Saccharomyces cerevisiae S288C: one gene and its partner. The protein of the gene in region 2 interacts with the protein of the main gene of each other region in a pairwise test. Each region holds a gene or a part of one and is shown on either strand. Other genes may lie near its edges. The genes, in order: PDR17 and PBI1.

Region 1 (14,709 bases), on a different chromosome or scaffold from region 2:
AGCAAAAATATACATAGCCAAACTGACGCTTTAGCAGACCAGATGAGAGTTTCAGCTGTTATGTTAGCACAATTGGATAAGTCGCCACAACAGTTATCAGAAAGTACCAAACAAATCCGCGCTCAAATTATTTCATCAATGAAGGAGGTGCAGGATAAATTTGGTTACCATGATTTGGAAGCCCTTCATGGAATGGCAGGTGAGAGAAAATTGGAAAACGATTTAATGACGGGTGGTATTGACACTTCATATCTAGGTGAAGATTGGGCTACCAAGAAAGAGAGGATACGTAAAACTTCGGAATATGGCCATTTCGAAAACTGGGATTTATGTTCTGTAATCGCCAAGACGGGTGATGATTTGAGACAGGAGGCGTTTGCATACCAGATGATTCAAGCGATGGCCAATATTTGGGTTAAAGAAAAAGTTGACGTTTGGGTTAAAAGAATGAAAATTTTAATTACTAGTGCGAATACGGGACTTGTGGAGACCATCACAAATGCTATGTCTGTGCATAGTATTAAAAAGGCTTTAACCAAAAAAATGATTGAAGATGCAGAACTAGATGACAAGGGTGGTATTGCCTCTTTGAATGATCACTTCCTTAGAGCTTTTGGTAATCCTAATGGATTTAAGTATAGAAGAGCACAAGACAACTTTGCTTCTTCGTTAGCCGCATATTCTGTCATTTGCTATCTCTTGCAGGTTAAAGATAGACACAACGGTAACATTATGATCGATAACGAAGGCCATGTAAGTCACATCGATTTTGGATTTATGCTATCAAATTCACCCGGCTCAGTGGGCTTTGAGGCCGCACCATTCAAATTAACTTACGAATATATTGAACTGCTAGGCGGAGTAGAGGGAGAAGCGTTTAAAAAGTTTGTTGAACTAACTAAAAGTTCGTTCAAGGCTCTGAGAAAGTATGCTGATCAAATCGTATCAATGTGTGAGATTATGCAAAAGGACAATATGCAGCCTTGTTTCGATGCTGGCGAACAAACAAGTGTACAACTACGACAAAGGTTCCAATTGGACTTATCAGAAAAAGAAGTTGATGACTTCGTAGAAAATTTCTTGATAGGTAAATCTTTGGGTAGTATTTACACCAGAATATACGACCAATTTCAACTTATTACACAGGGTATATATAGCTGAGAAGGAAAATAGCTGTGACAGAACTGGAAAAACAATTTGCAAATGTCCGGAGAACAAAAAAATTGGAATTTTAGTAAAAGGAATATACATATATTTATTTATTGCCGAGAATAATAGAGCAGCTGACTCAGAAAAAGCAAGGTAAAAGAATGAGAGTAAAATAAATATGTGGTTAATTAACCATACATATAAATTATTATCTTATTTTCTGCGTAAAGCGTCAAACCGTTTCTTCAACTCATCTAGTTCATCATTTTCTTGCTCCTTCTTAGTCTTTCTTTTTGTAGTTTTCTTTTCTGATTGTTTCTTTTCGATCACTTCCTTTTTGATATCTTTCGGAATCTTGAGCTCGTTCTTGATATTTTCACTATTCTGCCTAGGCTTTTTAACAGTGATAGGGTGTTTAGCATCTGCATTGTCATTATCGTCATTATCTAAGGCTAAAATAGGCTTTTCTTCGTCATTATCCTCGATATCTCCCGAGGGGTCACTAAAGTCTGAAGAAATGTTAGAAGACGACGAAGATAAGGAATTCTCCAGCTTACTATATGGCACATCGTATGTTTTCGCGATTTCCTTCAAATAAAGATCAACTAGTTCTTCTTTTGGAACTGAGGGAGAGCATTTTTTTATAATCTTTTCAGGGACATCGATATGATCTGCTATTACTCCATTAACAAACTCAACGTTTATTTTCCAGGCCATCAAATCTTTCAATTGGCTAAGTTCTTTGACTTCATCAACGAAAAGAATCGCATAGATTAGGGATCTGATAGCTTCGTTAATACCATCATCCATATGCTCTTTGACAAGCTGTTCCTCGGTGGAGATATCGTTTATTACCTGCACTCTAGCCAGTAGTAATTCACAATATAGTTCCAATATCTCTAGTAGCTCAATATGAATATCGTCATGAATTAGCGTCTCCACACGATAATGCGCCTTCTGTTCTTTATTTGTCAGTAACAGTTGTGCAACCTGTCTTCGAGACTGCTTTGCAATCGCCTGTTGCTTTTCTTGAGCATATCTTAACCTTTGAATACACATTTTCAGGCATGTTTTAAGCTTGATCTATAACAATAATTTGGATGATAGTTTTACCCTTCTTCAGTTAGTACATCCTAGATCTTTTGCATACTAAAGCTTTTTAAAAATTACTATAAAATATAAACATACAGTGAACGGAATCATTGACGGAGCCATTTTTAGTTGTCGTATTCTCTTATCTATCTTCTATGTTGACTAGTTCTGATTGATTAGCTGGAACTAATAGTATATATAATTTTCACACCCTTTGGAATTCAGAAGGCGTTTTTTTTTTCATGAAACAAAACAATAGAGTGCGGATAGCCGATTCAGTTGATTCTAAAAGTATATAAAATGCGATAAGCGCATAAGCAGCCATTATAAACGTACATCTGAGTCTAGATATATACGTTTGTGTAGCGGGAAACGTTAAAAAAAAAAATCTTAATTATAGTTTATCAAATGACCATATCAACAGGATATTTTAATTCGTCATGTTGGCCCTTGGTGTCATATTCACTTAATCCGACAATGCCTCCAAACTTTAAAAATCTATCAAAACGTTTCAATCGTAAATCGTCAACTTTCTTAACCATATCTGGCCAATAGACTTCATGTTTATACTTGAAGTCTAACAGACCATTGTATAGAGCATCTAGTTGAGATGGCTCTATGTGGTTTTCAAATGGTTCGTCAAAGATAGCCTTCGCCTTAGTGGCAGGGTCAAGGAACGGATACATCATCTTCAAAAAAGCCCACGCAAACCATGGGATATTGATCAGGACACACTTAGCTAACCTTTCAGGGTAATGATCTTGCATGACGTTCAAACACATCCTAGCAATAGAGATGGGTGGAGCTTTATCAGTGATAATACCAGGTTCTTTATAACTTTTGAAATCTACCAAGACTGTGATCTTTTCTACACCTTGGGGAGCTACAGTTGTCGCAGTTTCCATCATGTAGACTAATTCTTGGACTTGTCTAAAGGAAGATTCTGTGTTTTGACGACCATTTTTCATGTAGTATAGAGGTCTTTTAGCGTTGTCAAAGCCCAAAATAACCTGTTTACCAGTTTCGTTCTCAACGGCAACTTTGTCAGCTGTTAAAGGGTCTTTGTCCTCCTTACCATGTGTAAGTCCAATTTCTCTCCTCCATACCAAGGTTTTGGTGAGACCTTTTATGGCGTTCGCGGTGTTCCATTTATTGGCTCTTAGGTATCTTAGAAAACACTCCCTAGAAAGCCAAAACTTCTCCCAATCACTCAAGGGTCTGTCATTGGCATGTGTCCCATTGTCAAGGTCATTGAGATTTTCTGGTAATTTCAGATCATCATCTTGAAAATGTCGTAAGACAGCTCTATATTTTTCGTTTTGATCTTCGGAGATGGGTTCCAGTAGAGGTGCGTTACCATACTTGGCAGGAGGGTCCAAGAATATCTTATCACATGGAATAAGTTTCTCTTTAGGCACAGCAGGCGTATGGTCCCGTTTTCTTGAAAAAAGACCCATTTTTGTTCTTCTTCTTGTGCTTTCTTTGTGTGATTTTTCAGGGTCTTTTTTTTTAAACAATGATGTAAATTAAATCTATCTAAAAAGCGTGATTTTTCCCACGAATTTTAATCCCTCTATTGTTCTCTTTCCACTCCATATTGAGTGAAAGGAAAAATAAGAAAAGTAAATAGAAAATTTATGACGTAGGAATAAAAGTATATAAGTATTTAACAAATTGACCGTAGATAATAATAATGCGCATGAAATTAAATCCTCTCTTTGATCTCTTCAATCAAGATCAACCCATTAACCACATTAGAACATTTTGCCAAATGAAGCCATAGACGAATAGGAAGTAATTGCACTTCTTGACGGTCGATTTGCTGATGGAAACGTGTATATCATCGTCTTCAGCACCGGAGCGGCTTAGTAAATTGAACTTGACGGATCTTAGTAGGAATACGCCAAAGGCAATAAATAAGTAAAATTTTATCAAAATATTCAGGTTAAATGGCATGGTCACGTTGGTCAAAAGCTGGGCGAGAATCAATGGAACAAATTTGTAGCCGACATAGCACAACAGTTCGACCAAACTGAAGCTTGGAATCTTAGAATCGATCAAAAGATACAAGCCAAGCTTCAAAATCAACAAATCTAAACACACAAACGCCAGAGTAGAAGACAGTTTGTAGTACAAGTCTTCGGGGTTGAATGAACCCTTCAGACCTTGCTGCGTATTCCAGATGAGAATATAGGTAACTAGTCCCATAATAGGCATGTACATGTCTGGGGAGTTCACGTCATCCCTTGGTGGCAAAAAGTTGCCAGAGTCCATAATTCGTTGCCAGTTCTTGGTTCCGTTAAGAAAAGGAACTAGGATGAGTTTCAATTTATTGATGACATAACGGGTGCTGACTTGAAAATACGTTGAAATTTGTTGAGAGCCGGCAGCGTTTGCAGTGGCTTTATTGACCGTTTCTTGAAACTGGTTAAAGTTATCCTGACCAATAAAATTAGAAAATGCGCTCTGCCCTAGTTGGAATGCCATCGAACCACGAGGATCTTGGAATGGAAAACCACCGCCACTGCCATTTACGTTTGCATTCATATTCGCATTACCTTGGCCATTCACGGGCGTGTTCCTCGGAATTTGCATTGGTCGTTGCTGTTGTGGAGTGTGGGAAAAGCGATCGTTAACGCCATTCTGCTCACTTGTTGCATATGCGTACGGATTATAAGACATCTTGGTATGGGCCTTTGGTTTTCGTTTTCTGCTATTGATACTCAGTAGCGAGGTCTTACAATCGAAAAGTCAAAAAGATGAGTTGTAGTATAAAACAACAGCTCTGGTGTGCAATATGGATCTTGATACAGAGTCTCGGATATGCTGTTTTAGCACTGAGAAAAAGTAATAGTAACACTGTCAGTGTTCGTCAAAGGCCCAAGTTTATTGTCATTTGAATTGTCAGAATGGTTTATTTTCAGGTAGGGTAACCAGAACGCGTAAGTTTCTTGCATCTTTTACCATTTTAACTGGAAGAGGACCTATCAAAAAGAGCATATGATGATGAAAGAGCACATTCTATCAAGATAACACTCTCAGGGGACAAGTATATGATGTTTGGCAAGAAAAAAAACAACGGAGGATCTTCCACTGCAAGATATTCAGCTGGCAACAAGTACAACACACTCTCAAATAATTATGCGCTTAGCGCGCAACAGCTCTTAAATGCTAGTAAGATCGATGACATCGATTCGATGATGGGATTTGAAAGATACGTACCGCCGCAATACAATGGCAGGTTTGATGCGAAGGATATAGATCAGATTCCAGGCCGCGTAGGGTGGCTGACGAACATGCACGCAACGCTGGTCTCTCAGGAAACCTTATCCAGTGGTAGTAATGGCGGCGGCAATTCGAATGACGGAGAACGTGTAACGACCAACCAAGGTATTTCCGGAGTTGACTTCTACTTTTTAGATGAAGAGGGTGGGAGCTTCAAGTCGACAGTTGTCTATGACCCATACTTCTTTATTGCGTGTAACGATGAATCAAGAGTAAATGATGTGGAGGAACTAGTGAAAAAATATCTGGAATCTTGTCTCAAAAGCTTACAAATCATTAGAAAGGAAGATCTTACCATGGACAATCACCTTTTAGGGCTGCAGAAGACACTTATTAAGTTATCATTTGTAAATTCCAATCAGTTATTCGAGGCCAGGAAACTCCTGAGGCCAATCTTGCAGGATAATGCCAATAATAATGTGCAAAGAAATATATATAACGTTGCTGCAAATGGCTCGGAAAAAGTTGACGCCAAACATCTGATCGAAGATATCAGGGAATATGATGTGCCGTATCATGTCCGAGTATCTATAGACAAGGACATTAGAGTCGGTAAATGGTATAAGGTAACTCAACAGGGATTCATTGAAGATACTAGGAAAATTGCATTTGCCGACCCTGTGGTAATGGCATTTGATATAGAAACCACGAAGCCGCCTTTAAAATTCCCGGATTCCGCCGTAGATCAAATAATGATGATTTCGTATATGATCGATGGGGAAGGTTTTTTGATAACAAATAGGGAGATAATCTCTGAGGATATTGAAGACTTTGAGTATACACCGAAACCGGAGTATCCTGGTTTTTTCACCATATTTAACGAAAACGATGAAGTGGCGCTTCTACAAAGGTTTTTTGAACATATAAGAGATGTACGACCCACTGTTATATCCACCTTCAATGGTGACTTTTTCGATTGGCCTTTTATACATAACAGAAGTAAGATTCACGGCTTGGACATGTTCGATGAAATTGGTTTCGCTCCAGATGCTGAAGGTGAGTACAAGTCCTCATACTGCTCTCACATGGATTGTTTCCGTTGGGTGAAGCGTGATTCTTATTTACCACAAGGTTCCCAGGGTTTAAAAGCTGTTACTCAATCTAAGCTAGGTTATAACCCAATTGAACTGGATCCCGAATTAATGACGCCGTATGCATTTGAAAAGCCACAGCACCTTTCCGAATATTCTGTTTCCGATGCAGTCGCTACGTATTACCTTTACATGAAATATGTTCATCCTTTTATCTTTTCCCTTTGTACTATTATTCCTTTGAACCCGGATGAAACATTGAGAAAGGGTACCGGTACTTTGTGTGAAATGTTGTTGATGGTTCAAGCTTATCAACATAATATTCTTCTACCAAATAAGCATACAGATCCCATTGAGAGGTTCTATGATGGACATCTTCTAGAATCCGAGACTTACGTGGGTGGACATGTGGAGTCATTAGAAGCTGGTGTTTTTAGGAGTGATTTGAAGAATGAATTCAAGATAGATCCTTCTGCCATTGATGAATTATTACAAGAATTACCAGAAGCTTTGAAATTTAGTGTGGAAGTTGAAAATAAGTCCAGTGTAGATAAAGTAACGAATTTTGAGGAAATAAAAAACCAGATAACGCAGAAATTATTAGAGTTGAAGGAAAACAATATAAGAAACGAACTACCTTTGATCTATCATGTAGATGTCGCCTCTATGTACCCAAACATCATGACTACAAATAGACTACAACCAGATAGTATCAAAGCAGAGCGCGATTGTGCTAGTTGCGATTTTAATAGACCCGGAAAAACCTGTGCAAGAAAGTTAAAATGGGCTTGGAGAGGAGAATTCTTTCCCAGTAAGATGGATGAGTATAACATGATCAAGCGTGCATTACAAAATGAGACTTTTCCCAACAAAAACAAGTTTTCTAAAAAGAAAGTTTTGACATTTGATGAACTAAGTTACGCAGACCAAGTTATCCACATAAAAAAACGTTTAACTGAATATTCAAGGAAAGTTTATCATAGGGTTAAAGTATCAGAAATTGTCGAACGAGAAGCCATTGTCTGCCAAAGAGAAAATCCATTCTACGTCGATACCGTGAAATCCTTTCGTGATAGGCGTTACGAATTCAAAGGTTTAGCCAAGACTTGGAAGGGAAATCTGTCCAAAATTGACCCATCTGATAAGCATGCGAGAGACGAGGCCAAAAAGATGATTGTGCTTTATGACTCATTACAATTAGCTCACAAAGTTATTTTGAATTCGTTTTATGGGTATGTTATGAGGAAAGGCTCTCGTTGGTATTCCATGGAAATGGCGGGGATTACGTGTTTAACAGGTGCCACGATCATTCAAATGGCGAGAGCTTTAGTAGAAAGGGTAGGAAGACCATTAGAATTAGATACTGATGGTATTTGGTGTATCTTACCAAAATCTTTCCCTGAAACTTACTTTTTTACATTAGAAAATGGTAAAAAGCTTTATCTCTCCTACCCATGTTCCATGCTGAATTACAGAGTTCACCAAAAGTTTACGAATCACCAATACCAAGAATTAAAAGACCCATTGAACTATATATATGAGACGCACAGTGAAAACACGATTTTTTTCGAAGTTGACGGACCATATAAGGCCATGATTTTGCCTAGTTCCAAGGAAGAAGGAAAAGGTATAAAGAAAAGATATGCTGTCTTCAATGAAGACGGCTCACTTGCTGAACTGAAAGGTTTTGAATTGAAGAGGCGTGGTGAATTACAACTAATAAAAAATTTTCAAAGTGATATTTTCAAGGTCTTTTTGGAAGGTGATACATTAGAAGGATGTTACAGTGCTGTAGCAAGCGTATGTAACCGTTGGTTAGATGTTCTTGATTCACATGGTCTTATGTTAGAAGATGAAGACTTGGTCAGTTTGATTTGTGAAAATAGAAGTATGTCAAAAACTTTAAAGGAATATGAAGGGCAAAAATCTACTTCTATTACGACGGCAAGGAGATTGGGGGATTTTTTGGGTGAAGATATGGTAAAAGATAAAGGTCTACAATGTAAATATATTATTAGTTCAAAACCTTTCAATGCACCTGTTACTGAACGAGCCATTCCAGTCGCAATATTTTCAGCGGACATTCCCATCAAAAGGTCTTTTCTGAGGCGATGGACATTAGATCCATCTTTGGAAGATCTGGATATCAGAACCATAATCGATTGGGGTTATTATAGAGAAAGACTTGGATCTGCTATACAAAAGATAATTACTATTCCAGCAGCATTACAAGGGGTTTCCAATCCTGTTCCAAGGGTTGAACATCCAGATTGGCTAAAAAGAAAAATCGCTACAAAGGAGGATAAGTTTAAGCAGACTTCACTAACCAAATTTTTTTCGAAGACAAAGAATGTACCAACAATGGGCAAGATAAAAGATATCGAGGATTTGTTTGAACCAACTGTAGAAGAAGATAACGCCAAAATTAAAATTGCAAGAACTACTAAAAAGAAAGCCGTATCCAAGAGGAAAAGAAATCAGCTTACAAATGAAGAAGATCCACTAGTATTGCCCTCGGAGATTCCTTCCATGGACGAGGACTATGTTGGGTGGCTAAATTATCAAAAAATTAAATGGAAAATCCAAGCAAGAGATAGAAAGCGTCGAGACCAATTATTTGGTAATACAAACAGCTCCCGTGAAAGAAGTGCACTAGGAAGTATGATTAGGAAGCAAGCTGAATCATATGCGAACTCCACTTGGGAGGTCTTACAATACAAGGATTCCGGTGAGCCAGGGGTTTTGGAAGTATTTGTAACAATTAATGGCAAAGTCCAGAACATCACCTTCCATATACCAAAAACTATTTATATGAAATTCAAATCTCAAACAATGCCGCTACAAAAGATTAAGAATTGCCTTATTGAAAAATCTTCTGCATCGTTACCAAATAATCCCAAAACGTCTAATCCAGCAGGCGGTCAGCTATTCAAAATTACTCTACCGGAATCTGTCTTTCTGGAAGAAAAGGAAAACTGCACTAGTATCTTCAACGATGAAAATGTACTTGGTGTATTTGAGGGCACTATCACTCCTCATCAAAGAGCGATCATGGATTTGGGAGCTTCGGTAACGTTCCGCTCAAAAGCAATGGGTGCGTTAGGCAAGGGAATACAGCAGGGTTTTGAAATGAAGGATCTTTCAATGGCGGAAAATGAAAGGTATCTGAGTGGATTTTCAATGGACATTGGCTATTTACTACATTTCCCAACATCAATTGGGTATGAATTTTTTTCATTATTCAAGTCATGGGGAGATACTATTACTATATTAGTTTTGAAACCATCCAACCAGGCTCAGGAAATAAATGCCTCATCATTAGGACAAATATACAAACAAATGTTTGAAAAAAAGAAAGGTAAAATAGAAACATATTCTTACTTGGTTGATATTAAAGAAGATATCAATTTTGAGTTTGTATATTTTACAGATATCTCAAAATTGTACAGAAGACTATCACAGGAAACTACTAAATTAAAAGAAGAAAGAGGTCTGCAGTTTTTACTCTTGTTACAATCTCCGTTTATCACTAAGCTCTTAGGCACAATCCGGCTTCTAAACCAGATGCCCATTGTTAAGCTTTCCTTGAATGAAGTTCTTCTACCCCAATTGAACTGGCAACCGACATTATTGAAGAAACTTGTTAACCACGTTTTATCCAGTGGTTCGTGGATTTCTCACTTGATCAAGTTATCCCAGTATAGTAACATTCCAATCTGTAATTTGAGGCTGGATAGTATGGATTATATTATTGATGTTCTTTATGCAAGAAAACTAAAAAAAGAGAACATCGTGCTTTGGTGGAATGAGAAAGCTCCACTTCCAGATCATGGAGGCATTCAAAATGATTTTGATTTAAATACATCATGGATAATGAATGATTCAGAATTTCCCAAAATTAATAACTCAGGTGTGTATGACAATGTAGTTCTCGATGTTGGTGTTGATAATTTAACAGTGAACACAATTTTGACATCAGCATTAATCAATGATGCTGAAGGCAGTGATCTAGTTAACAATAATATGGGTATAGATGACAAAGATGCCGTTATTAACTCGCCATCTGAATTCGTGCACGACGCCTTTTCTAATGACGCTTTGAATGTTTTAAGAGGTATGTTAAAGGAGTGGTGGGATGAGGCCCTAAAAGAAAATTCAACCGCAGATTTGTTGGTAAATTCCCTGGCAAGTTGGGTTCAAAACCCGAATGCGAAACTATTCGACGGATTACTAAGATATCACGTTCATAACTTAACAAAAAAAGCCTTACTTCAATTAGTAAATGAATTTAGTGCACTTGGCTCAACTATTGTATATGCAGACAGGAATCAAATTCTAATAAAGACAAACAAGTACTCACCTGAAAACTGTTACGCCTACAGCCAATATATGATGAAGGCAGTTAGAACAAATCCAATGTTTAGTTATCTGGACTTAAATATCAAACGTTATTGGGATCTGCTAATATGGATGGATAAGTTTAATTTTAGTGGATTAGCATGTATTGAAATAGAGGAAAAGGAAAATCAGGATTATACCGCTGTTTCGCAATGGCAACTAAAGAAGTTTCTGTCACCAATATATCAGCCCGAATTTGAGGATTGGATGATGATCATATTGGATAGTATGCTAAAGACAAAGCAGAGCTATCTAAAATTGAATTCAGGGACGCAAAGACCTACCCAAATAGTTAATGTAAAAAAACAAGATAAGGAAGATAGTGTTGAAAACTCGTTGAACGGATTTTCTCACCTTTTTTCCAAACCACTAATGAAAAGAGTCAAAAAGCTTTTTAAAAACCAGCAAGAGTTCATTTTAGATCCTCAGTATGAGGCAGACTATGTTATTCCTGTTCTTCCTGGTTCCCATCTGAATGTGAAAAATCCCCTTCTAGAACTTGTCAAATCACTCTGCCATGTCATGTTACTTTCAAAGAGTACAATTTTAGAAATCAGGACCCTGAGAAAAGAACTGCTGAAGATATTTGAATTGCGTGAGTTTGCTAAAGTAGCGGAATTCAAAGATCCAAGTTTGAGTCTCGTGGTGCCGGATTTTTTATGTGAATACTGTTTTTTCATTTCTGATATTGACTTTTGTAAGGCAGCTCCTGAATCTATTTTTTCATGCGTCAGATGTCACAAAGCCTTTAATCAAGTATTGTTGCAAGAACACCTGATTCAAAAACTACGTTCTGATATCGAATCCTATTTAATTCAAGATTTGAGATGCTCCAGATGTCATAAAGTGAAACGTGACTATATGAGTGCCCACTGTCCATGTGCCGGCGCGTGGGAAGGAACTCTCCCCAGAGAAAGCATTGTTCAAAAGTTAAATGTGTTTAAGCAAGTAGCCAAGTATTACGGTTTTGATATATTATTGAGTTGTATTGCTGATTTGACCATATGAGTAAGCAGTATATAACGCGAGGTTCAATGGCCTCTTTACCATGAAAAAAAAAAAAAAAAAAAAAAAAAGGTAAGGAAAAAGAGTATTTTCAATTCGTTTCTGAACATATAAATATAAATAACCGAAAAATTAGCCCTTGAACATAATTAACACTCTTCTTTGATATTTAAATCACAAGTACTTTTCTTTTATTTTCTTCTTAATACTTTTGGAAATAAAATGAATGTGACCACTCCGGAAGTTGCTTTTAGGGAATATCAAACCAACTGTCTCGCATCGTATATTTCTGCTGATCCAGACATAACTCCTTCAAATTTAATCTTGCAAGGTTATAGTGGAACAGGAAAAACCTACACTTTGAAGAAGTATTTTAATGCGAATCCAAATTTGCATGCAGTATGGCTGGAACCTGTTGAGTTGGTTTCTTGGAAGCCCTTACTGCAGGCGATAGCACGTACTGTACAATATAAATTGAAAACCCTATATCCAAACATTCCCACCACAGATTACGATCCTTTACAGGTTGAAGAGCCATTTCTTTTGGTAAAGACGTTGCACAATATTTTTGTCCAATATGAATCTTTGCAAGAAAAGACTTGCTTGTTCTTGATATTGGATGGTTTCGATAGTTTACAAGATTTAGACGCCGCACTGTTTAACAAATATATCAAACTAAATGAATTACTTCCAAAAGATTCTAAAATTAATATAAAATTCATTTACACGATGTTAGAGACATCATTTTTGCAAAGATATTCTACACATTGCATTCCAACTGTTATGTTTCCGAGGTATAATGTGGACGAAGTTTCTACTATATTAGTGATGTCTAGATGTGGCGAACTCATGGAAGATTCTTGTCTACGTAAGCGTATCATTGAAGAGCAGATAACGGACTGTACAGACGATCAATTTCAAAATGTAGCTGCGAACTTCATTCACTTAATTGTGCAGGCTTTTCATTCTTATACTGGAAACGACATATTCGCATTGAATGACTTGATAGACTTCAAATGGCCCAAGTATGTATCTCGCATTACTAAGGAAAACATATTTGAACCACTGGCTCTTTACAAAAGTGCCATCAAACTATTTTTAAGCACAGATGATAATTTAAGTGAAAATGGACAAGGTGAAAGCGCGATAACCACAAATCGTGATGACCTTGAGAACAGTCAAACTTACGACTTATCAATAATTTCGAAGTATCTGCTCATAGCCTCATATATTTGTTCATATCTGGAACCTAGATACGATGCGAGTATTTTCTCTAGGAAAACACGTATCATACAAGGTAGAGCTGCTTATGGACGAAGAAAGAAGAAAGAAGTTAACCCTAGATATTTACAGCCTTCTTTATTTGCTATTGAAAGACTTTTGGCTATTTTCCAAGCTATATTCCCTATTCAAGGTAAGGCGGAGAGTGGTTCCCTATCTGCACTTCGTGAGGAATCCTTAATGAAAGCGAATATCGAGGTTTTTCAAAATTTATCCGAATTGCATACATTGAAATTAATAGCTACAACCATGAACAAGAATATCGACTATTTGAGTCCTAAAGTCAGGTGGAAAGTAAACGTTCCCTGGGAAATTATTAAAGAAATATCAGAATCTGTTCATTTCAATATCAGCGATTACTTCAGCGATATTCACGAATGATTATCTCCCTGGAAGGTATCCAGAGGGCAGGATACGTTCGAAACAACAACTACGTTATATAAATATTTATACATAGTGGGATAGAATGAACAATTATCAAGTAAACCTTGTATTTTTTGTTCCCACGCTCTACGCTCTGTTTCTTGGATATGGTAATCAAAGATTAATACGTATAACCGTTATTAATTCAGTCCACTAGAAACTATTAAAAGCGCCCTACTGTATGGAAAAACAATGAATGAGGAGACTGAACGGCGCAAAATTGTTAGTTTAGTTGCTCTTTTTGGCGGCCGGCGATAATGTTCTTCACTTGGTATTCTTACCAGGATTGAGCCTGATTTTGTTTTGTCTTATTCTTTGCGATGTCTTCATTTTCTACAAAACCTCTAATTTCTCCGGCAATGGCCCTTGAAACGTCTTCAAAGACTTCAAATGTCACGGTGGGGGTTCTTTTATCTTTAACTAATCGATGAAGAGTTATTAGAATGGTTCTAAACTTATTTTTCAATTTTATTAACACCCTCTCAAATTCCATCACACTTTCATCATCGTTATTCATTTTCAAACCTTTCATTAAAGTACGAATGGTATGTATATTCTTTTCTAGTGTTGGACTATGCAATCCATACGATTCTATAACATCACACAAACCTTCCATTTGTCCCAGGAGCGTAAATCTTTGGAATCCCACTTGTAAACCATACTGTTTACCTTCTAGAAAGCTCTGCTTTATATTCTCATTCTGGCCCTCCAGAAAACCTTCTTGGTAATACTGTTCTTCTAGGTTTAGTAAATTATCAAAATCCATTTTTATTTGTCCAGTGATCTTTACTTTCCATTTACTCTTCAAATATGATAAGTGATTTGATTTAAACAAGTTTTTTTTCATTTTTCTTATAAAACGATTTCTCACCATGATTGAGATTTTTATATTAGTAAGATTATACTGAAAAGGCAAATGGCTACATAGCCAACAAAGAATAAAACAATAAAACAATAAAAAAAGACTTTTTTCTTCGTAAGCATCCTATTGAGAATATTAATCATTTACTTAAGTAGCTACAATACAAAATAGAGTAAAAAACTA
Region 2 (13,770 bases):
TATCAGAGTACTACTATCGAAGCATTTTTACGCTTGAATAACTTGAATATTATTGAAAGCTTAGTTCAACCAAGCTGAAAAGAACCATTATTCAACATAATTGGAAATCATTTCGTTACTAAATCGTCCGAAAATTGCAGAAAAATGGCACGTCTTCCTCTAAAGCAGTTCTTAGCGGATAACCCCAAAAAAGTTCTTGTTCTTGACGGTGGTCAAGGAACAGAACTGGAAAACAGAGGTATCAAAGTTGCAAATCCCGTGTGGTCTACTATTCCATTTATTAGCGAATCATTTTGGTCTGATGAGTCATCTGCTAACAGAAAAATTGTCAAAGAAATGTTCAACGATTTCTTGAATGCTGGCGCAGAAATATTGATGACTACAACATACCAAACGAGTTATAAATCAGTTTCTGAAAACACCCCAATCAGAACTTTATCCGAGTACAATAACCTTTTAAACAGGATTGTCGATTTTTCTCGTAATTGTATTGGCGAAGACAAATATTTGATTGGCTGTATTGGCCCATGGGGTGCTCATATTTGTCGTGAGTTTACAGGCGACTATGGTGCTGAGCCAGAAAATATTGATTTCTACCAATACTTCAAGCCTCAGTTGGAGAATTTCAATAAAAATGACAAATTGGATTTGATTGGGTTTGAAACCATTCCTAACATCCATGAACTGAAAGCTATCTTATCTTGGGATGAGAGTATCCTGTCTAGACCCTTCTATATCGGGTTGTCTGTGCATGAGCACGGTGTCTTGAGAGACGGCACTACCATGGAAGAAATCGCACAAGTTATTAAGGACTTGGGCGACAAAATAAATCCTAACTTCTCGTTCTTAGGAATCAACTGCGTCAGCTTCAACCAATCACCCGACATTCTTGAGTCTCTACATCAAGCACTACCAAATATGGCCTTGCTTGCTTATCCAAACAGTGGTGAAGTTTATGATACTGAAAAGAAGATATGGTTGCCAAATAGCGATAAGCTGAACAGTTGGGATACGGTTGTTAAACAGTACATTAGCAGCGGTGCCCGTATCATTGGTGGTTGTTGCAGAACAAGTCCAAAAGACATCCAAGAGATTTCTGCAGCCGTCAAGAAATACACGTAAATGCGTTTTTAAAGAAGTTAAATAATTCTTAACATTATATATATGCTAAAAGCAGCATGTTACACTAAATACATTTTATAAACAATAGAAAGTATGTTAATACAATGCTTTTCAAAGCGACCATGACTTTCCGTACTTGGCCGACAAAAAAACAGAGTAAATAAAATGTCTATTATAATCGGGCGAGAATTAATAAACTAGCAGTTTAGCACAGCAGAATTTAGGCATACACGATGGATGAAAAGGTGTAGCCACACGAACCTGTCGAGATCCCTTTTTCTGTCTACTAAATCCACATAGGCCAGACTATTTCGTAAAGATATGTCCCCTGAATGCCGCAGCTTGCTGTATTTACCGTCACTTCTTTTTGCTCAGTTATACTGGAAATGACGGCCTCGGCATGCCAAAGTTCCAGAAACAGTGCAATTTCCTGTCATATCTCCTATCAATAGTTTCTTTAGCATATATGTTGATTAAATTTTGATAAGAATAAATAAAATGGAAAAAATACGTACTATACAGACATATATTTAATGCGTCACCTGCCTATTCAATAAAGGATTCGAAGCATTCTACAAAAGATTCTAAATTATACGAATCAGGGTAGTGAATACAGATATTCAGGCCCATCTCTTCACAGTATGTATAGGAAAGAGACATTAATGTGGGGCGATTTATCGAACTTGTAAATCCCGTACTTACAATTTTGAAAGATTTGTCATCGCCGTTCATCGATAACGATATGTCGGAAACATCATTGATTTGAATCAATTTTGTCCTTGAATTTTGGATATGGAAATCGTCGTCATTGTCATACTTCATCCTCCTTATATCGTCATCATTAAACCCATTCTTTTCCCAACTCCTCAGTTTTGCCATAATAAAACCGCTAACGTGCTTTGTAACTTTATTAAATTGATATTCCATCAATCTTTCATTAAACTCATCATCATTATCCTCGTTATCGTTACTGTTGGTCAAAAATTCGTTGGCGGAAAGTTCGTCATCAATTAGAGAAAGTGGACATTCGACCCTTAGTTCTTTGAAGAAGAGACCCAATGACCCACCTAAGCCTAAGTGGTTTCTTAAATTTATGGGAATAGTAAATACTATTGTACCGCTGAAATCCTTAACGAGAGGTTTTAAACATATCATTGCAATACCACAGATGAAACTTCTTAGACATATATGCTCTTGATTAACGATTGACTTTAAATAGTTAAACCTTTGGTTGTTTACTATCCCAAATACTGTTGTCCCGCATAATGAGGTGTGCGCATTTAGAATATCATTATACTTTTTCAGCTGTGTTGCAGATACTGACGAGCTGAGGGAAGTTTGATTGGTTAAATAGCCGAAAGGTCTTTTTAAAGTGTTATAGTATATTGATTTGAAAAATGACTGAGTTTGCTTGTGGAAGATTTGTGGTGTCATAGCGGGCAGGTGTAATTTTGCGCTATCATATATCGATTTGGGAAATTTTAATTCTGAGAGATTGATGTCATTGACATCAAACAAAATCCTATCTTCAGAGTGTGTTACTGTGCTGATTTCGTTTAACTCTTTTAAAAATAATTTGTGAAAGTTAGCTGCTGAAAATATATCAAACAATACGTCGTGACCATGAAAAACCAATAGCGCTTCGTCAATTACATATAGTGTCCATAAAGGTTTATTTGATCCGGGAACAAATCTAGTCTTGTTGAAGGCATGACGCAAGAGATAAGGAGGTGGAACACCCCAATGGCAATTGACCTCCTTATCTTTTATGGTTTCAAACTCAATCACATTAACAATATCGGAAGTTTTCAGCTGCTTCAATGGCTCGAATTCCCATTCTTCGTTTACAGTTGCAAACAATGCCGGTTGCGATTTAATCAATCTCTTCAAAGTTGTTGCTATTAGGGGCAGAGTCAGACGAGAATCATCTTTGGAAGAATTTGTTCCGAGCGTGACTTCATCAGAATGCCAGTCAGCGTCATTTTCTCTACTTAAAGATTTTGAATATGTACTCGAAAAAATAGTTCCATTTCTTTGGTCATTCAAAGATTGAGTGAGAATTTTTTTTTCAAAACTTGATAGTGGCCTAAACGTAGTCATTATGATAAAGTGAGGATGTGTCTGTGTTGTGAGTTACAAATGCACTTCTTTGGACAGGTATAACAAGGATAACGTATACACCCTTTTATATATGACCGTCCCCCCATACAAATTTGTGCTCGTATGCCGAGTGTGATCTACTCATCGCTTCGTTAATGAATCGTTTAGCCAAGAATATAGTAAACGTGTAGCAGAGTCATACCCCTGATGGCTGCAGACGCAGGGAATACTCAGCCTCGAAACAGTTTTCAATTTATGTGCGTATGCATGGCTATAATCTTCTATTTCTGTCACCTTTCGTTTATTCTAAACGAATTTGCGACGTTCAACGAAAGCGCGTTGAAAAAATTAATCTCTGAAGTTAAACGGTCGGAAAACAGACAAAAAAGTTGTTGTTATTACTTGTAGAGGAAAGAGCTATTTCATAGCTCGTTTGGGAATGCAGGGGTGACGTCCTTCTTCGGGTGTGTTGTCCTAACTTTCCTTAAACACATTGGGCTATCATACCAGTGAAAAAGAAACATACAATGGTCAGATTCGCTTTATTTGGCTACGAGAATGTGGCGGCTAAGTTCCCTCAACAACTATTCCACCAATCTTGATGGCTTTTCTAAGGCTCTAAGTAGACGTTAAGGTGGCTAAGATTCTAAAATTTTGCCATTTTTCGAGGTTGTGCTTCGCCCTATCCCTTGGAAAACATTTCTAATCATCTTAAATTCTGTGATTGAGAACGTTTTAACGTTATCTTAAACGTTTCCATAGAAGAACGAACGTGAAGGTTTGTAGCTCGTTAAAAGGCGATCTTGAATGATGTGAAGAAGTGTAAAAGGCTTAGGAAAGTTGCTTGTTGACCCGGTGTCGTTCAATATACTCCTATTACCCAAATGGCAGTTTCATAGAGTGATATTATTTCGTTGCCTTGTGTAAGTTAGAAGTACTTCTTGTCGATTGTGAATTCGGATAGCCGCTAGAACGCCAATCATTGCGGAGGTTTGCCATCGCATGGATACCATAGCCATCTGCACATTCTAATATAGATTATATTACTTTAGACCATGTCATTTCATAATCGTTGGTTTAAGCGGTGTTGTTTCCACAGTTTGTATGAGAACTTTTGTCCAAAGTAAAGTATCAGTAACGTAATCTGAGCAAACCTACATTAAATCGTAACTCCGCGAGATTCTTTTGTTCAGGTGGATCAGCGGCGTGGTTTACTTCCGATTTGCTCATCGTGCGCATAGCAGCATTTATTCCTCTAATTCGCTCGATAATCAACCTTTCCGCACTACGACGGTGGCAATAGTTGGACCTTAAGATATGCCTATCTGAATACAATTCTTCAACTCACATCAGTGGGACACTAAATAAAGCATATGGTATGAAATACTATGAATTATTGAATTATTGGCAGACACAGCAGCGACAAGTCAGAGTGCTTACAAAAAAAAAAGAGTTGATCCGGCTAAAGAAAGTCTGATTTACGTATTTATCCAGGTTCAAACGGATTGCCAAAAATAGTCGATAACCTCGGAGTAAGCAAAGCAACAATATATTTGTTCTTCGAAAAGGTAAACTTCTTAACTTCTATAGAAGCATTGTACTAGTTCTCTCGAAGAAAAAAACTAAGAAAGCTATAGCTGTATCTTACCAAGCCATGAACTTGAGGAATTGGTAATCCTTATTAGGAAATACGCTAAACTAGGTAATAGCAGATGATTTACTAGCTTACTATCTCACACTAAGTCTGGCAACGCGCTTATTTTTTAATACTTTTATACGAACCAATGAAATTTGATCCTCCCCTTTTTCGTCTAGTTAAATGAAGAGATACAAGTAGGCCTTTCTATTGAGTACTTAGCAAGATATGTATTTCTAAGAAACATCAACAGTTTCAGCCCACAACCGATTCATAAAATGTCTGCCTGGAGGAAAGCTGGTATATCATATGCTGCATATTTGAATGTGGCCGCTCAGGCTATCCGTTCTTCATTGAAAACTGAATTACAAACCGCTAGTGTTCTTAACAGATCGCAAACAGATGCTTTTTATACCCAATATAAAAATGGCACTGCAGCTTCTGAACCCACTCCAATAACAAAATAGTTTAACGCTTCCTGGGAACTGCAGCTCTTTTTTTACTCGCTGATATACATTTTAAATATTCTAGCAACTGTGTATGAAAACTTACGTACTTTTATACGGGAAACTAATAATGACTACAATGATATTGAATACTGGCCGCTTCGAAGAGTGGTATAAAGTTTGTATCATTGCATTAAAAGAAAAAGAAATATATGTCCCATCATCGCCAATCGCAATGTTGAATGGTCGTTTACCACTTTTGCGGCTGGGCATATGCAGAAACATGCTGTCCCGTCCCCGACTGGCTAAACTGCCATCTATAAGGTTTCGGTCTTTGGTCACCCCTTCTTCATCGCAGCTCATTCCTCTCAGTCGGTTGTGTTTAAGGTCACCTGCAGTTGGAAAATCACTAATTTTACAAAGTTTTAGATGTAATTCATCCAAAACAGTTCCAGAAACTTCTCTGCCTTCAGCCTCTCCCATATCTAAAGGATCAGCAAGGTCGGCACATGCAAAGGAGCAATCTAAAACTGATGACTATAAAGATATAATAAGGTTATTTATGTTGGCGAAACGGGATTGGAAACTGCTTCTTACAGCCATACTTCTTTTAACCATATCATGTTCCATAGGCATGTCTATTCCTAAAGTCATAGGTATTGTCCTTGACACACTTAAGACGTCATCTGGATCAGATTTTTTTGATTTGAAGATACCGATTTTTTCTTTGCCTTTATATGAGTTTCTTTCCTTTTTTACTGTTGCTTTACTGATTGGTTGTGCTGCTAATTTTGGTAGATTTATATTATTGAGGATACTAAGTGAGCGTGTTGTTGCACGCCTAAGGGCAAATGTCATTAAAAAAACGCTTCATCAAGACGCAGAATTCTTCGACAACCATAAAGTTGGGGATTTAATTTCTCGTTTAGGATCTGATGCTTATGTTGTTTCAAGATCAATGACCCAGAAGGTCTCGGATGGGGTCAAAGCCCTAATTTGTGGGGTTGTTGGCGTGGGGATGATGTGTTCTTTGTCACCTCAACTATCAATATTGTTACTATTCTTCACTCCACCTGTTCTTTTTAGTGCCTCAGTGTTCGGGAAGCAAATTAGAAACACCTCTAAAGACCTTCAAGAAGCTACTGGTCAATTGACTAGAGTCGCTGAAGAACAACTCTCTGGTATCAAGACGGTTCAGTCGTTTGTTGCTGAAGGTAATGAATTGTCTAGGTATAACGTTGCAATTAGAGATATTTTTCAGGTGGGAAAAACTGCGGCATTTACAAACGCAAAGTTTTTTACTACAACTAGTCTCTTAGGTGACCTAAGTTTTTTAACCGTCCTTGCGTATGGCTCCTATCTTGTTTTACAATCACAGCTCTCCATTGGTGATCTGACTGCATTTATGCTGTACACAGAATATACGGGGAATGCGGTATTCGGCCTTTCTACCTTCTATTCGGAAATTATGCAGGGTGCTGGGGCCGCTTCCAGGTTGTTTGAATTAACAGATAGGAAACCTTCCATTTCACCGACTGTGGGACACAAGTATAAACCAGATCGTGGTGTTATCGAATTTAAAGATGTTTCATTTAGCTACCCTACAAGGCCTTCTGTTCAAATATTCAAGAATTTAAATTTTAAAATTGCGCCAGGATCGAGTGTTTGTATTGTGGGCCCTTCAGGTCGTGGTAAATCTACAATTGCACTCTTACTGCTAAGATATTATAATCCCACTACTGGGACTATTACGATAGATAACCAAGATATCTCTAAATTGAATTGTAAATCCCTAAGAAGGCATATTGGTATCGTTCAGCAAGAGCCGGTACTGATGTCAGGTACTATTAGGGATAATATCACTTATGGGTTGACATATACCCCAACAAAGGAAGAAATCAGGTCAGTAGCAAAGCAGTGCTTTTGCCATAACTTTATCACAAAATTTCCGAACACATACGATACGGTAATTGGTCCTCACGGCACCTTACTAAGTGGAGGACAAAAGCAGCGTATTGCGATTGCAAGGGCTCTAATCAAAAAGCCAACTATTTTGATTCTTGATGAAGCTACATCAGCTTTAGATGTTGAAAGTGAAGGAGCCATTAACTATACGTTTGGTCAACTAATGAAATCAAAATCGATGACTATTGTTAGCATCGCGCACAGGCTAAGTACGATCAGAAGATCAGAGAATGTTATTGTCCTTGGCCATGATGGATCAGTGGTAGAAATGGGCAAATTCAAAGAATTGTATGCGAATCCAACAAGTGCTTTATCGCAATTACTTAATGAGAAAGCGGCTCCTGGGCCATCTGACCAACAACTGCAAATAGAGAAGGTCATCGAAAAGGAAGATTTGAATGAGAGTAAGGAGCATGATGACCAGAAAAAGGACGATAATGACGATAATGATAATAATCATGATAACGACAGCAATAACCAGTCTCCAGAGACGAAAGACAATAATTCAGATGATATTGAAAAATCTGTCGAACATCTCCTGAAAGACGCGGCAAAGGAGGCTAATCCAATTAAGATCACACCACAACCGTGAGTCATCCGCATCGCATATACCCATTCTTATCTCGCACATTTAAATATATACTATATATAATACTGTTAAATGCCAAATAAAAAGGATTTTCATTACCCGAATCGATACTTTTGGTAGCATAAACAAATAACATTGAAACAATAACAAAGTGTAATGTGGCCGCACGAATCTTTGTCTGTAACAGCCTTAAAGATTTCAGTAGCACTGCCATGGATAATGATGGACCCAGATCTATGACCATTGGGGATGACTTCCAAGAGAACTTTTGTGAACGTTTAGAAAGAATTCACAATACATTACATTCAATAAACGATTGCAACTCATTGAATGAGAGTACCACAAGTATATCAGAGACATTGTTAGTTCAATTTTATGATGATTTGGAGAACGTTGCCTCGGTAATTCCCGACTTAGTCAACAAGAAAAGACTGGGAAAAGACGATATTTTGTTGTTTATGGACTGGTTATTATTGAAAAAATATATGCTATATCAATTTATTAGTGACGTTCATAATATTGAGGAAGGTTTTGCTCATTTGTTGGATTTACTAGAGGATGAATTCTCGAAGGACGATCAGGATAGCGACAAATACAATCGATTTAGCCCGATGTTTGACGTCATAGAAGAATCTACACAAATTAAGACTCAGTTGGAGCCATGGCTTACTAACTTGAAGGAATTATTGGATACGTCATTGGAATTTAACGAAATTTCAAAGGATCATATGGATACATTACATAAAATCATTAATAGCAATATATCGTATTGTCTGGAAATTCAGGAAGAAAGGTTCGCGTCCCCGATACGGCATACTCCATCATTTACCCTAGAACAACTAGTCAAGTTATTAGGAACGCATACGGAGACAACTGAGCCAAAGGTACCAAAATTTTCTCCGGCAGAAGATATTTTATCAAGAAAGTTCTTGAACCTAAAAAAAAATATCCCTCCAATTGAAAAAAGTTTGACTGATATCCTACCTCAAAGAATTGTGCAATTTGGGCACCGGAATATAACAAACATAACTACTTTGCAAACAATCTTGCAAAAAAAATACGAGCTGATAATGAAAGATTATAGATTTATGAATTCAGAGTTTAGGGAATTGAAAGTCGAACTAATCGACAAACGTTGGAATATACTCTTTATTAATTTAAATCATGAACTATTATACATTCTTGATGAGATAGAAAGGTTGCAGTCGAAATTACTGACAACAAAGTATACCAAAGATATCACTATAAGGCTCGAGAGGCAATTGGAGAGAAAATCAAAAACTGTTTCTAAGACATTCAATATTATTTACAGAGCATTGGAATTCTCACTTTTGGACGCTGGCGTCGCATCGAAGACAAATGAATTAGCTCAAAGATGGCTGAATATCAAGCCTACAGCGGATAAAATTCTAATCAAATCCTCCGCTTCAAACAAAATAGCTACTAGCAAGAAGAAGATTCCAAAACCGAAATCATTAGGCTTTGGGCGACCGAATAGTGTTATTGGAACTATAACCCAGGATTTCCAGGAGAGAGTCGCCATTAATGAAGGTGACAGTAATAAAACACCGGAAAATTCAACTACAGTGGCTTTGAAAGGTAAAAAGCTTGGTAAAGCGTTACTGCAGAAGATGAATATTAAACCTGCAACAAGCCCAAATTCATCAAATGCGATTAATCCATTTTTTGATCCGGAGTCGCCAAACAAAGGAAAACTGATACTAAGTAGTGTTCCTCCCTTACCTTATGACGAAACCGATGAAACCACCCTCCGTGTTTCTCGTGGGGAAAATGAAAAGTCACCAGACTCCTTCATTACATCTCGGCATGAAAATAAAGTACAGATTACAGAAACTCCTTTGATGGCAAAGAATAAGTCTGTGCTTGACATCGAAAAAGATAAATGGAATCATTACCGGTCCTTGCCCTCTAGGATCCCTATATACAAGGATAAAGTGGTGAAAGTCACCGTAGAAAACACACCGATAGCAAAGGTTTTCCAGACTCCGCCAACAAAAATCACGACACCTAATAGTCAAGTTTGGGTCCCTTCGACAAGAAGAAGAACCCGATTGAGGCCTCCCACCCCCTTATCACAGTTACTTTCACCAAGAGAAGGGCGTTTAGATAAAACCCCAACTTATTGATACTAACCTAAAACTGTATACTTATACATTTTTATATATCCTCCCTCTCACCCTCTCCATTCATAGAATTTGTAATACTAGTTTAAATAATGTAATATTATGTGTAATTTTAAATAGTCCATGAAGATTCCGCACGTTTTCATTTTACAGTTTTTGACACCTTTACCCGACGCTTTATAAAAAAAATAGTATAAGCATCACGACATAAGCAGCCTCAGGTCATTAAAACAATAAAAGACTGGGAATTATAAACGTACAACGGTAAGGTCATTCACGCAGTGTATATGAATGACTGAAAGTGCTATAGATGACCAAAGGTTTAATCTTACAAAGGAGTTACAACGACACTCATGCAGAGATCAAGGGAAAATAACACAAAAGGATGATGCTTTAGATTTTATAAGTTACAGTTCTTTTCAATCCTCTTTTAATACTGACCAAAAAAGCGCGAACAATGGAAGTACTGTGAGAAGAAGCATAAGGTCGATTTTTAGAAGAGCAGCCGAATTGCCTAGAGTCCATATGGGGCCTCTTACTTATTCACATGGGATAAATGAGCTTGTTAACAAGAAATTAAGAAAAGACTGTGATCTCAGCACGCTATGTCGCGTATTGCAAAGAGGAATCAGGATGATTAGGATGACAAGAAGAAGAAGGAAGTTCTATGAATTTAAATTAATCAATAACAACGGGCAAATAATATGGAAAGATGGTTCGAAGTATCTGGAATTAGACTCCGTTAAAGACATCAGAATCGGTGATACGGCGAGTACTTATCAAGAGGAAGTAGATCCGAAAAGATTGAGATCGGACAGTAAACTTTGGATTGCTATTATTTATAAGGTTTCCAACAAATTGAAAGCGTTACACGTAGTTGCTTTGAATGAATTGGACTTTAACACATTCTTAAGCTGCATTTGCGGTTTAGTGAAGTTAAGGAGGGAATTAATGGAAAGCATACTTTTGCCTGATAATTCGCAATTCGCTAGGATACATTGGCAAATTACTGTTTCTGAAAAAGAGGAAGATGAGAAAAAGGACACATTGAGCTTTGCAGATGTGAAGAAACTATGTGATAAATTTCATATTTATGTGTCAACTGGTCAATTGTTAGAGTTTTTCCAATTAGCAGACATCAATCATAACGGACTATTAAATTATTTTGAATTTGAAAAGTTCATTAAAATCTTAAAGAATAGGAAAGAGGTAAATATGATTTGGTCTAAATTTACAAAACCTCCACACTCCCACTTATCATTTGAAAATTTTTTTCAATTTTTAATTACAGAGCAGCATGAGCAAGTGGATCGTCAAACTGCATGGTCATATTTTATTAAGTACAGAGAACCGACTCAGCTGACGATGGGGCAAGATGGTTTTACCAAGTTCTTGAAGGAGCAACCATATTTGGTGGAGGTTAAAGAGGAGTTATATTCAAAGCCATTAAACCATTATTTTATTGCATCTTCACATAATACTTATTTATTGGGGAAACAAATTGCAGAAACTCCATCTGTGGAGGGATATATTCAAGTCCTACAACAAGGTTGTAGGTGCGTAGAAATTGATATATGGGATGGTGAAAATGGGCCAGTGGTATGCCATGGATTTTTAACGTCAGCTATTCCCTTAAAAACAGTTATACGCGTGATAAAGAAGTACGCTTTTATAACGTCTCCGTATCCTTTGATTATTTCACTGGAAATAAACTGTAACAAGGATAATCAAAAATTGGCAAGCCTGATAATGAGAGAGGTTTTAGCAGAACAGCTGTACTTTGTTGGCACAAGAACTGATAAACTGCCATCACCAAGGGAATTAAAACATAAAATACTGTTGAAATCCAAGAAGACGAGTGAAGCAACTAGAGGTCTTAGCGTTAATGAGCCATTTCCATCTTCTTTTAGTTCTTCTTACGAATCAGCTAATGAACAGGAATTAAGAATGAAAGATGACTCCACGAACAGTAGTAGCGCAACAAATTCTTCTAGTATGCAACGCATCAAAAGAATTGGATTAAAAAAGCACGCTGATATAATTAATGATGTTTCTAACATTTCTGGAATACATGGCATCAAGTTCAGGAATTTCTCTTTACCAGAGTCCAAAACGATAGCGCATTGTTTTTCACTGAATGAGCGCAAAGTAGAATACATGATAAAAGACAAACACTTAAAATTATCGTTGGATAAACATAATAGAAGATATTTGATGAGAGTCTATCCTCACGTTTTACGATACAAATCATCAAATTTTAACCCAATACCTTTTTGGAAGGCCGGTGTACAAATGGTGGCTACGAATTGGCAAACTAATGATATTGGACAGCAACTTAATCTGGCAATGTTTCAAATATTAGATCACCAACCTGATGGAAGTTTTAAATCAGGATACGTGCTAAAACCAAAAAAGTTGCTACCTGTAGTAACAAAGGCGAAAATGATTCCATTAATTTACGAACATTTTGAAAATGGTAGTGATCCTGTTACTGTTAAAATTCGAATTTTATCTACACAGTTATTGCCCAGATTGAATGATACATCGCCAAGCAGAAATAACACCAATTCCTTTGTTAAAGTGGAGTTTCATACCGATGACGAGCCGACAATGCCCATCTCAATCGATAAGGGTACAAGGATTTCTGCCACTGAAGCATCCACTAAGAGTTCTCAAGGGAATGGATTCAACCCAATATGGGATGCTGAAGTTTCTATCACATTGAAAGATACAGACCTCACATTTATAAAATTCATGGTTATCTCTGAAGAGACCCAGATTGCATCTGTTTGCCTTAAGCTGAACTATTTGAGGATGGGATATCGTCACATTCCGTTGTTTAACATGGAGGGGGAACAATACATATTTTGCACTTTATTTATTCATACACAAATTTTATAGGCGATCTTTTTCCGGCCAAATACACATATTCATAAATACGTACATATACCTACTTGCATATACCAACATGATTACCTAGAATGGATATATCAAATGGGACGACGAAGTACCACGACAATACACAATAACAACTTCTGTTTTTCGCTGATTGCCTTCTCTTCAGCAGAAAGTTGATGCATATTTCGCGTAGCGCGTTGACGCGTCTTCTTTCTGAAGTTTTGTGCTTTTGTTATCATACTATATAAAGTAAAAAGAAAGGAGAACATATTAAGCATTACTGAATTAGGATCCTTTGGAAGAAATAAAGTAAGAGACACTGAAAGATGATATCACCATCAAAAAAGAGAACCATTTTATCAAGCAAGAATATAAACCAAAAACCACGAGCAGTGGTAAAAGGCAATGAACTTCGTTCACCATCAAAGAGAAGGTCACAAATAGACACAGACTATGCACTAAGGCGAAGTCCAATAAAGACAATCCAAATTTCTAAAGCTGCACAATTTATGCTGTATGAGGAAACGGCTGAAGAAAGAAACATAGCTGTCCACAGACATAATGAAATATACAATAATAACAATTCTGTGAGCAATGAGAATAATCCTTCCCAAGTAAAAGAAAACCTTTCACCCGCTAAAATTTGCCCTTATGAAAGAGCATTTTTAAGGGAAGGAGGAAGAATTGCATTGAAGGACTTAAGTGTTGACGAATTCAAAGGTTACATACAGGATCCTCTCACCGATGAGACTATACCACTGACGTTGCCACTGGGTGATAAAAAAATCAGCCTACCCAGTTTTATAACGCCGCCAAGAAATTCGAAGATATCTATTTTCTTCACTAGTAAACACCAAGGACAGAACCCAG

The links.
Region 1: the proteins of PBI1 (region 2) and PDR17 interact in binary tests that used the Saccharomyces cerevisiae proteins (3 or more experiments, as listed by UniProt).

The regions. Positions count from the first base shown.
Region 1 is NC_001146.8:142,918-157,626, forward strand, and holds PDR17 (phosphatidylinositol transporter), read right to left. Parts: upstream 3,699-14,709; coding exon 2,646-3,698; downstream 1-2,645. Other genes in the region: PIK1 (1-phosphatidylinositol 4-kinase), read left to right, coding at 1-1,161; IST1 (Ist1p), read right to left, coding at 1,363-2,232, 2,338-2,364; protein transporter YIF1, read right to left, coding at 3,979-4,923; POL2 (DNA polymerase epsilon catalytic subunit), read left to right, coding at 5,295-11,963; ORC5 (origin recognition complex subunit 5), read left to right, coding at 12,183-13,622; ribosome biosynthesis protein LTO1, read right to left, coding at 13,942-14,430. UniProt on the Saccharomyces cerevisiae protein: Has phosphatidylinositol transfer activity. Involved in the regulation of the phospholipid composition of plasma- and endomembranes. Altering plasma membrane composition may provide a possible mechanism for multidrug resistance.
Region 2 is NC_001148.4:24,943-38,712, forward strand, and holds PBI1 (Pbi1p), read right to left. Parts: upstream 3,223-13,770; coding exon 1,669-3,222; downstream 1-1,668. Other genes in the region: S-adenosylmethionine-homocysteine S-methyltransferase SAM4, read left to right, coding at 145-1,122; ATP15 (F1F0 ATP synthase subunit epsilon), read left to right, coding at 5,137-5,325; ATP-binding cassette permease MDL2, read left to right, coding at 5,540-7,861; KAR9 (Kar9p), read left to right, coding at 8,071-10,005; PLC1 (phosphatidylinositol phospholipase C), read left to right, coding at 10,294-12,903; ACM1 (Acm1p), read left to right, coding at 13,227-13,770. UniProt on the Saccharomyces cerevisiae protein: Phosphatidic acid-binding protein involved in interorganelle phosphatidylserine (PtdSer) transport.